2 linked regions of the Danio rerio genome follow. The protein of the gene in region 1 interacts with the protein of each later gene in a pairwise test. Links are inferred from orthologs where the notes say so. Each region holds a gene or a part of one and is shown in the gene's direction. Other genes may lie near its edges.

The links. The genes of interacting proteins can lie anywhere in the genome.
Region 2: the proteins of mxd4 (region 1) and mlx interact in a two-hybrid assay, tested with the Homo sapiens proteins (2 studies listed by BioGRID). The link is inferred for Danio rerio from reciprocal best matches to the Homo sapiens genes MXD4 and MLX.

What each region holds. Positions count from the first base shown.
Region 1 is NC_133176.1:27,718,058-27,722,134, forward strand, and holds the start of mxd4 (max dimerization protein 4), read left to right. Parts: upstream 1-1,277; 5' UTR 1,278-1,445; coding exon 1,446-1,509; intron 1,510-1,930; coding exon 1,931-2,027; intron 2,028-3,830; coding exon 3,831-3,860; intron 3,861-4,077. UniProt on the Homo sapiens protein: Transcriptional repressor. Binds with MAX to form a sequence-specific DNA-binding protein complex which recognizes the core sequence 5'-CAC[GA]TG-3'.
Region 2 is NC_133178.1:36,012,822-36,017,069, reverse strand, and holds the start of mlx (max-like protein X), read left to right. Parts: upstream 1-1,448; 5' UTR 1,449-1,489; coding exon 1,490-1,531; intron 1,532-2,386; coding exon 2,387-2,426; intron 2,427-3,860; coding exon 3,861-3,950; intron 3,951-4,248. UniProt on the Homo sapiens protein: Transcription regulator. Forms a sequence-specific DNA-binding protein complex with MAD1, MAD4, MNT, WBSCR14 and MLXIP which recognizes the core sequence 5'-CACGTG-3'. The TCFL4-MAD1, TCFL4-MAD4, TCFL4-WBSCR14 complexes are transcriptional repressors.

The sequences.
Region 1 (4,077 bases):
TCACAAATGAAAATAAAGCTGCTAGAATGGCTCAGCCAATTACCTGACCTGAATCCAGTTGAAAATAAGAACTAAAGATCAGACTTTATAGAAATAGACTTTATATAGCCTCAAAGCTGTCACTAAATATATTTCAGTAGTTCAATGTCTTCTTCTTGTGCCACTACATTGTTATTACACATAATATTTTTTTCTTTTCTCTTGGTTTATTTATTTGTTTGTGTTTTATCAACATCTGGGCCATTTTATGTCAACAGCACCTATAAGCCTATATATCTACCAGGAAAAATCATGACATGTCCAATACACGTTTTACCCGCTTGATATATGTATAAATACTATTAATATGTGTAAACTATTATTTATTTTTATAGATTTTTTTTGCAAATGTCCTTGTAATCACAACTAGAGTGTGAGTATGTAATCACAAATGATATTTGAGTAAACTGCACAAACAAACACACACTGAAACATTTTTTTAGCAAGTTCTTCAGAGAAAAATAAAAAAATAAGAAATATTTATTTACTGCCATGCAAATACTTTTATCTATTCTATACTTTTTTTGGCAAATCAATAATAAATTACTAGTTTGTTACCTTTTAAATAATACATAATAAATACACACACAGCAATCTATAGCTACAGGATCAGAAAAGAAGTCTTGCTTTGGAAAGTAGCCACTTGTAGTAACTTACATAAAGATGACCCGAGAGCCGACCGCGCCCTACACGTAATTATGTAAGTATAAGCAAACTTTGACGGTTTCATTTAATAATAAATATGTGTCCAGTATGACCTTACTTTTATAACTCGAATCAGTGATTTGCGCTCGTATTTTAATGTGAATGTACCTTAGTGAACGATCAGAAACTTGACTTTGAAAAACATTTTCTATCCGCTGAGTTCTTCCAGAGACAACTTTGCCACTGCCAGCATAAGTTTACTAAACGGGGTTATATGAAAACACGCCCTGTGTTTCTTTCAGCCAATCATGGGTACGTGGATGATACGTCAGACCAATGAGCGATATGGGGGTTGGGTCGCACGTACTGTTGCTAGGGCATGGCTTCAACATTGTTACTATCACTGACTAGCCAATCATATGACATTTCGCAATGTGTCAACATCTTTCCTGTGAATTTCTCTCTTTGAAGTCGTTGATTGGATACAAATGTTTTTAAGGCCCGCCTTTCATACTTTTCTGTCGTCTTATTGGACACAGAAACCATCAATCAATTACCAGATTTTAGTTTACGTGCAGTCTGCATTAATTTTTGTTGAGAGTCTGTACGACTCAGAATTGAACCGTTCATATCGAGCGTCATCACTTTTTTGTTTATTTGTTTGTTTGTTTTTATTTTGTTTCTCTCTTTGATTTATACCTTTTGTTAAAGTGTGCATTCGTTTTTGTTGTGTGTAATTTTATTTCTGCAAATACACCAGGATGGAACTTAATTCTCTTCTCCTACTTCTTGAGGCAGCAGAGTATTTGGAAAGAAGAGACAGAGGTATCATGATTATATCTGCTGAACTAAAACTATTCTTTGTGATATTTCGTTGATTTACCGGTCGACTGACACTTATAAACCTGTCTGTAGATCAAGTGTATCTTCATTGAAGCCCTGAGGGAAGATATGATCTCGTTGTCGTGGGATTCTAAGTCTGTTAAATAATTGGAAAGATTTGACTTACCAGCATGTCATTATTTCTAGCACTGTTAAAATGTTGTTTCGTTTTCAATATTAGGTCAAATGTAACCAGGGGGTGGGGGTGTTTGCTTTACAGTAAGTTAAGTTGAAATCATGATTCGTCAACTGTGAAGCGGGTTGCCATAAAATATATAAATTGTCCAACTTTATAACTCTGATTTTTGTTCATTAAAGCCCATACGTCTGTATTCAATGCTATTTACGTTGACTTTCTCACTAGAAGCTGAACACGGTTACGCATCTGTTTTGCCGTACGATAGTGACTTTTCCAGAAAGAAAACTAAATCACCCATTTCAAGAAAACCCCACAACAACAGGTAAATACAATGCAGTGACATTGCTATTATAATGGATGGACATATTACAACAGTGTATTCTAACGTTACATGTATTCGCCATTTTTGTTGTTGGGCTTGGCTGTGTATAAACATTGCCACGCGTACAGCGTCAACTTTCGGCCGCTGCTGCTTTCCCTTTTCCACTGCTGACATTTGCCTTCAACTCAATCATTTGTCTTCAACTCAATCATTTGTCTTGTTGTAACACCGGTCGTTTAATTTAGCACAAACTTTTTGGTGACCGAGGACGACTGCACAAATTAGTTATCGTACGTGCATGAAGTAACTAGAAGCGTATAGCTATTTACTGTACTTTACATTGTGTTATGTAAGCATGAATATTTTCAAATATGTGTCAGTGATGTTTTTTTACACATCAAAAAACAAACAATGAGTTGCAACAATGTTTTGACCAATCATTACATCTGAACTCAAAATTGTGTCACATGCTTATGTCATAGACAGTATGCTTATAGTAGTGTGGTTAGTTTAGGTGTGGTTAAACTCTCACTGCTGGGTGTGGTGTGAGCAGACCCAAGTCAGCTGCTACAGAGCTTTGACCCCTGGATCTGTTTTGCTGCATTAGCCCCCTTTTCCTTGCAATGTCAAAGCAAAACAGCAGGAGCCCAGTGTGCAGCCCTTCCCCCACAATATGCATAGAAAGCACTGAAAAAAAGGGGAAATCTACGGATCTAGGGCTGTCTAAGAAATTCATGACTTAAATTTGTTTTAATAAAATAAAAACATACACTCAATAACGTGCTTCTTATTAAACCCAAATTCCCATATTGAAGCTAACAAATAAACAAACAAATAAAACATCTGGCATTGCAGACGTGTACTTTAATTTCAAAGCTTTTATTCCAAGCAGCAACATATTTTCTACACTAGCTGCAGATGCTAAAATTGAGCTTTAGTCGCACTGTTATCACAAATGACATTTTGACTTACAACTTTGTCTTGCTTTGCTATCACATGCATGTCATTTGCATTTATTTAATACTCAAAAAAGCATATAAGGAAAATGTGGGGGAAAAATCCATATTATGGCCTTGATGGAGCCGAAACTGTACACTGCAGTTTTGACACAATTATCAACTGATGCTATGACCTACATATTTTGCTTTTATCTTGCTTTCACTGCAATCCCTCAATGTCTTTGTTGGTTTGTTTGTTTGGAGAAAATGTAATTGCCCGATCATACACCCTAGCATTCATACTCTGGACTAAAATAGCAATGCGTTGTAGCGTGCTGAATTTCCTCTGCGTCATTGGATGCATGCTGATAGAGCTTTACTTACTGTGATATTGGCTTAATAGACACAGTAAAGATATGGGGAATGATTTAGCTTAAATCTAGATAGAATGTAGTGTGTGCGTGTATGTGAGTAGGGGCCAGGGAGCATCAAAATCATTCTTTCGTTCTTTTATGCATTTATTACAGTCCTATTGTATTTGTGTAGTGATCTTTTTTTTTTTTAGATTATTTATATTTTGCATGACAATAAGGATGCTTTTGTATATTAACTGTGTATAACGCCTAGTTTAATAACAAGATTGCATATGTAATGCTAAAAGCAAATGCAGCAGTTTTGCAGTACTTAGGAAGATCACTATTATGCCAGATCGGTTCACTTTATCACCATTTCATTAGTATTATATATATATATATATATATATATATATAATTTATAGAGTCAGTGCACTTTTTAAAGTATATATACTTACATATATTTTATCTATTTTTACCGCTAAAATTAAATCTGTTTACTTTCTTTTAAGGTCATCACACAATGAGCTGGAAAAACACAGGTAAGAACATATCAGATATACTATAAGAGCCTGCATGTAATCACTAAATAAATGTTTCATATTTATATACAAAGTTCTTAACAGCCGCTGTCTTGTAGTAACGATTCCAATTGTATAATAGGTCAGCAGGGTTTAGTCAACATTTGCTTGGCAGCCATCTGTGATTATTATTATTCTCAAAAAGCTTATTATCCTTAATATTATAGCTTATTATATT
Region 2 (4,248 bases), on another chromosome or scaffold:
CCCTAACATGTGTGCATATGTATAGAGTGTTTCATGTGTCCATATATCTATAGAATGTATCGCGTGTGTGTGTGTGTATGTGTGTGTGTGTGTGTGTGTGTGTGTGTGTGTGTGTCATGTGTGTATATGTATTGAGTGTATCATGTGTGTTTATGTAAGAAGCGTATTATGAGTGCATATGTATGGAGTATATAATGTGTGCATATATGTATAGAATATTTCATGTGTGTATGGAGTGTATCAGGTCCAGGTATTATATCAACTCCTAGTAGCTCCGAGACCTGGGTTCTATCCCAGACCCTGACATGAGTGTTATGTGTGTGTATATGTAAGGAGTGTATCATAAGTGTGTATATGTATGGAATGTACCATCTGTGTATATGTATAGAGTGCATATGTATAGAACGTATCATTTGTGCGAATGTATGGACTGTGTATATGTACATAGTGTATCATCTCTGTATGGAATGTGTCATGTGTGCATATGTATAGAGTGTGTTGTGTGTGTATGTATAGAATGTGTCATGTGTGTATATCTAAATAGAATGTATCATGTGTGCTTATGTATGAAGTGTACCAGGTCCTTTCGTCGTATGGGTTCATCAACTCTCAATCTTAACACATATATATACACAGTACAGTATATATACAGTTGATGTCTGAATTTATTTTTTTCATATTTCCCAAATTATATTTAACAGAGCAAGGAAATTTTTACAGTATGTCTGATAATATTTCAGCTAGAAAAGCAGTTTTTAATTAAAAAAAAATATTAATAATTTTAAGTTTAAAATTATTAGCCCTTTTATGCCATATATTATAGTCTACAGAACAAACCATCATCATAAAATAACATGCCTAATTACCCTAACCTGGCTAGTTAACCTAATTAACCTAGCTAGGTCTTTAAATGTCACTGTATAGAAGTGTCTTGAAAAACATCTAGTAAAATATTATTTACTGTCATCATATCAAAGATAAAATAAAGTTACATACCGTTATTATGAGTTATATTCAGGGGGTCTCATAATTCTAACTTCAACTATAGATAGATAGATAGATAGATAGATAGATAGATAGATAGATAGATAGATAGATAGATAGATAGATAGATAGATAGATAGATAGATAGATAGATAGATAGATAGATAGATAGATAGATAGATAGATGTGTGCGTGCGTGCGTGCGTGCGTGTCATTTACAATGAGTGATGTTTAACTCTAATTTTAACTCTTATAGCACCACCACGTGGAATAAATGACCACATACTGCTAAGAGATGCATAGATAAATTATAGTCTGATGCATATATGGACTGTATTAATACGTTAACGTGATGTGTAAAGAAAACGTGAATGAACGAATCAACACTAATGAGTTAACCGAAAGGCACCAAAATGTGTCAAACGCTGTGGGAGGATAAGTTTGTAGACAGATTATGGCCACTAGGAGGCGCAGCTTGTAACATCCCGTCATTGTTTATTCCAAAATGACGGAAAACAGCGCGTCGCCGGAGGATCCCTGGCTAAAAGTAAGCAAAACTAGTCACATAAAAAACATATTTTGGTTTTATACAACCCTTTCCTTCAGAATCACCCTCGTGATGCGTGTGTCTTTTAATCGCTGGTCCGTAGGGTTTGGTTTCACTCTCTAGCTCAGCTGGCTAACCTTAAAGTTCAGCAAGTCAAAGAACAATTATCCTCCTTCCCACATGACCCTAATCTGTCTTTCCAGAGCTGATATTGAAAACAAATCACTGCCGAAACAAAAACATTTATTATTCTGAAGGTTTATTTGAATAACAGTCTGTTTAAGCTATGTTGTTGATAGTATTAAGGAAGCTATGTAACAGATGTGCAAGAGTTGAAACCGCTAAGCTAACTTGCTTGTTGGCTACATTGACTATATCTGGATGTGTTTCAAAACGTATGTAACTGCCTATCTAGGCTGACAGTTTATTTGGCGCAGACAATTCGTTCGAACTACCGAACCGACTCCCTTGAAGGACTCGATTCTACCAGGTTCTTTCTTTTGTTTGTTTGACCCTTTGTTTGATTTCTTTATTGTCCCTTTTTTAACGTTATTCTCTTCATACGCACTAAATAAAGTACACCCTCATTTCCACACGCTAATGGCACTGTGACAATATGGCAGTGATTGCTCAATCTGAAAGTTTTGAGACACAATATGTATGTAGATGAAATATCAGCTTTTAAAGGGATTTATTTGGGACACATCACAGTAGGGAGTTAGATGTGTCCTAGATAAAGGTGTAAGGCAGGACAGGTCACTCAGCCTGTGTTTGGGTTGGTTATCAACATCAGTGTGTCTTGTTTTGACTGTTTTTTCTGTTTGTCTTTCTCCACCTCCTGTCACCATGTCTCAGCAGACGGATGGCACCTTCAGTGACAACGGCTTTGACCACAGTAAGTAGATCAATAAGTCTCAACTGTCAGTCGATACCAAGATGAAAAAAATGACTTTAATAACGAAAATCAGAAAGGTTATTATAGCAAGCTGTCTTTAATATTTCTAGAAATATATCTAATGTCATGCTACCTGTACTTTTTGATACTAGTATCATTTTAAGTACTATTACTTATTGATACATGCATTTCTACTTAAACATAGAAGAAAACCTCTCTCATAGAGAGAAACATAGTTTAGTGCACTGTCCTGCTCCTAACGTTTGTGTAATACTTTATTTTTAAATTAAGTGAACTATTTAGCAGTTTTGACGCAAAACAATTTAGCGCTTTTGTCATTTATTAATGATTTATTAATGATTAAAAAGTCTGTCGATAACTTGTGTTTGTTTGAATATTTCTTTTATTCTGAATTTTTTTTGCCATAAAGATAGCCAGTAAATCTGACATAGCATTAAATAAAAGATGTGAAAAGATACGACATTAGTACTCATTAATTTGTACTTTTTAATAGATAGAAGTACTTTTCATTAGATACTACCTATTAAAGCATCTGTTTATAGGTACCAGTATGTAACGATAAAGCACTAGAGTCTAAATAATAGAAACTAGTGTCAAATAATCTTCAATCAGTGTATAAAATATGTCACATTTGGAATACATAGTTGCCAAAACTAGATGTACATACTAGTGAAAATAGATCCCTATATACAAAAATGGAAACTATGTTAAATTAGAATAACAGCCCCCCTCTTTATTTTCCCCCAATTTCTGTTTAACAGAGAGATTTTCTCAACACATATCTAAGCATAATAGTTTTAATAACTAATTTCTAATAACTGATTTCTTTTATCTTTGCCATGATGACAGTAAATAATATTTGACTAGATATTTTTCAAGACACTTCTATACAGCTTAAAGTGACATTTAAAGGCTTAACTAGGTTAATTAGGTTAACTAGGCAGGTTAGGGTAATTAGGCAAGTTATTGTATAACGATGGTTTGTTCTGTAGACTATCCAAAAAAAAATTGGCTTAAAGGGGCTCATAATTTTGACACTAAAATGGCTTTTAAAAATTAAAAACTGCTTTCATTCTAGCCGAAATAAAATGGATAAGACTTTTTTCAGACGAAAAAATATTATCAGACATAATATTTTTTGCTCTTTTAAACATCATTTGGGAAATTTTTAGAAAAGAAAGTGATGCACTAGGGTAACAAGGTTATTAGTTCTATAATAGTTACTTAAAGCTAATATATTAATTACAAACATGCACGTATGAAAACTAATTCTATCATTCTATTTTTTTTTTATCTATAAAACTAACACTAGTATTAAAAACTGTTTGCTTTGTTCTGTGCAATATTGGACTTACCAAACACATGACAATTTTATTGAAATATTTACATTTTCCTTGACCTCCATATCTCTAGGTTTTTTTGCAGAGAGCGCACGTAAAGGAAGTTTGGTGTCTAGAGCCAACAGTATCGGATCCACAAGTGCCTCTTCAGTACCAAACACAGGTGATGATACTGCTATTTATTCAGTGTCAAACATAGCCGTTTGTTGTGTATATCAAACTCTTTACTCTGAATTTCCCATTGTTTCCTGTTCAGAATCACAAGGTTATTCATCAGTCACCTTTCACTGTGAATGATTCATCCATGCATGCATTTTATTCATTCCCTTTTCCTTCTTTTTATTATCGTCTTAACTGGATTTTCCTTTGGTGATTTTGCATGACAGACTTCATGTATATTTAAATACGTTTTAAACAGCTGACTTGTTATAATCTTTTTTGATAATCCACTTGAGTAACAG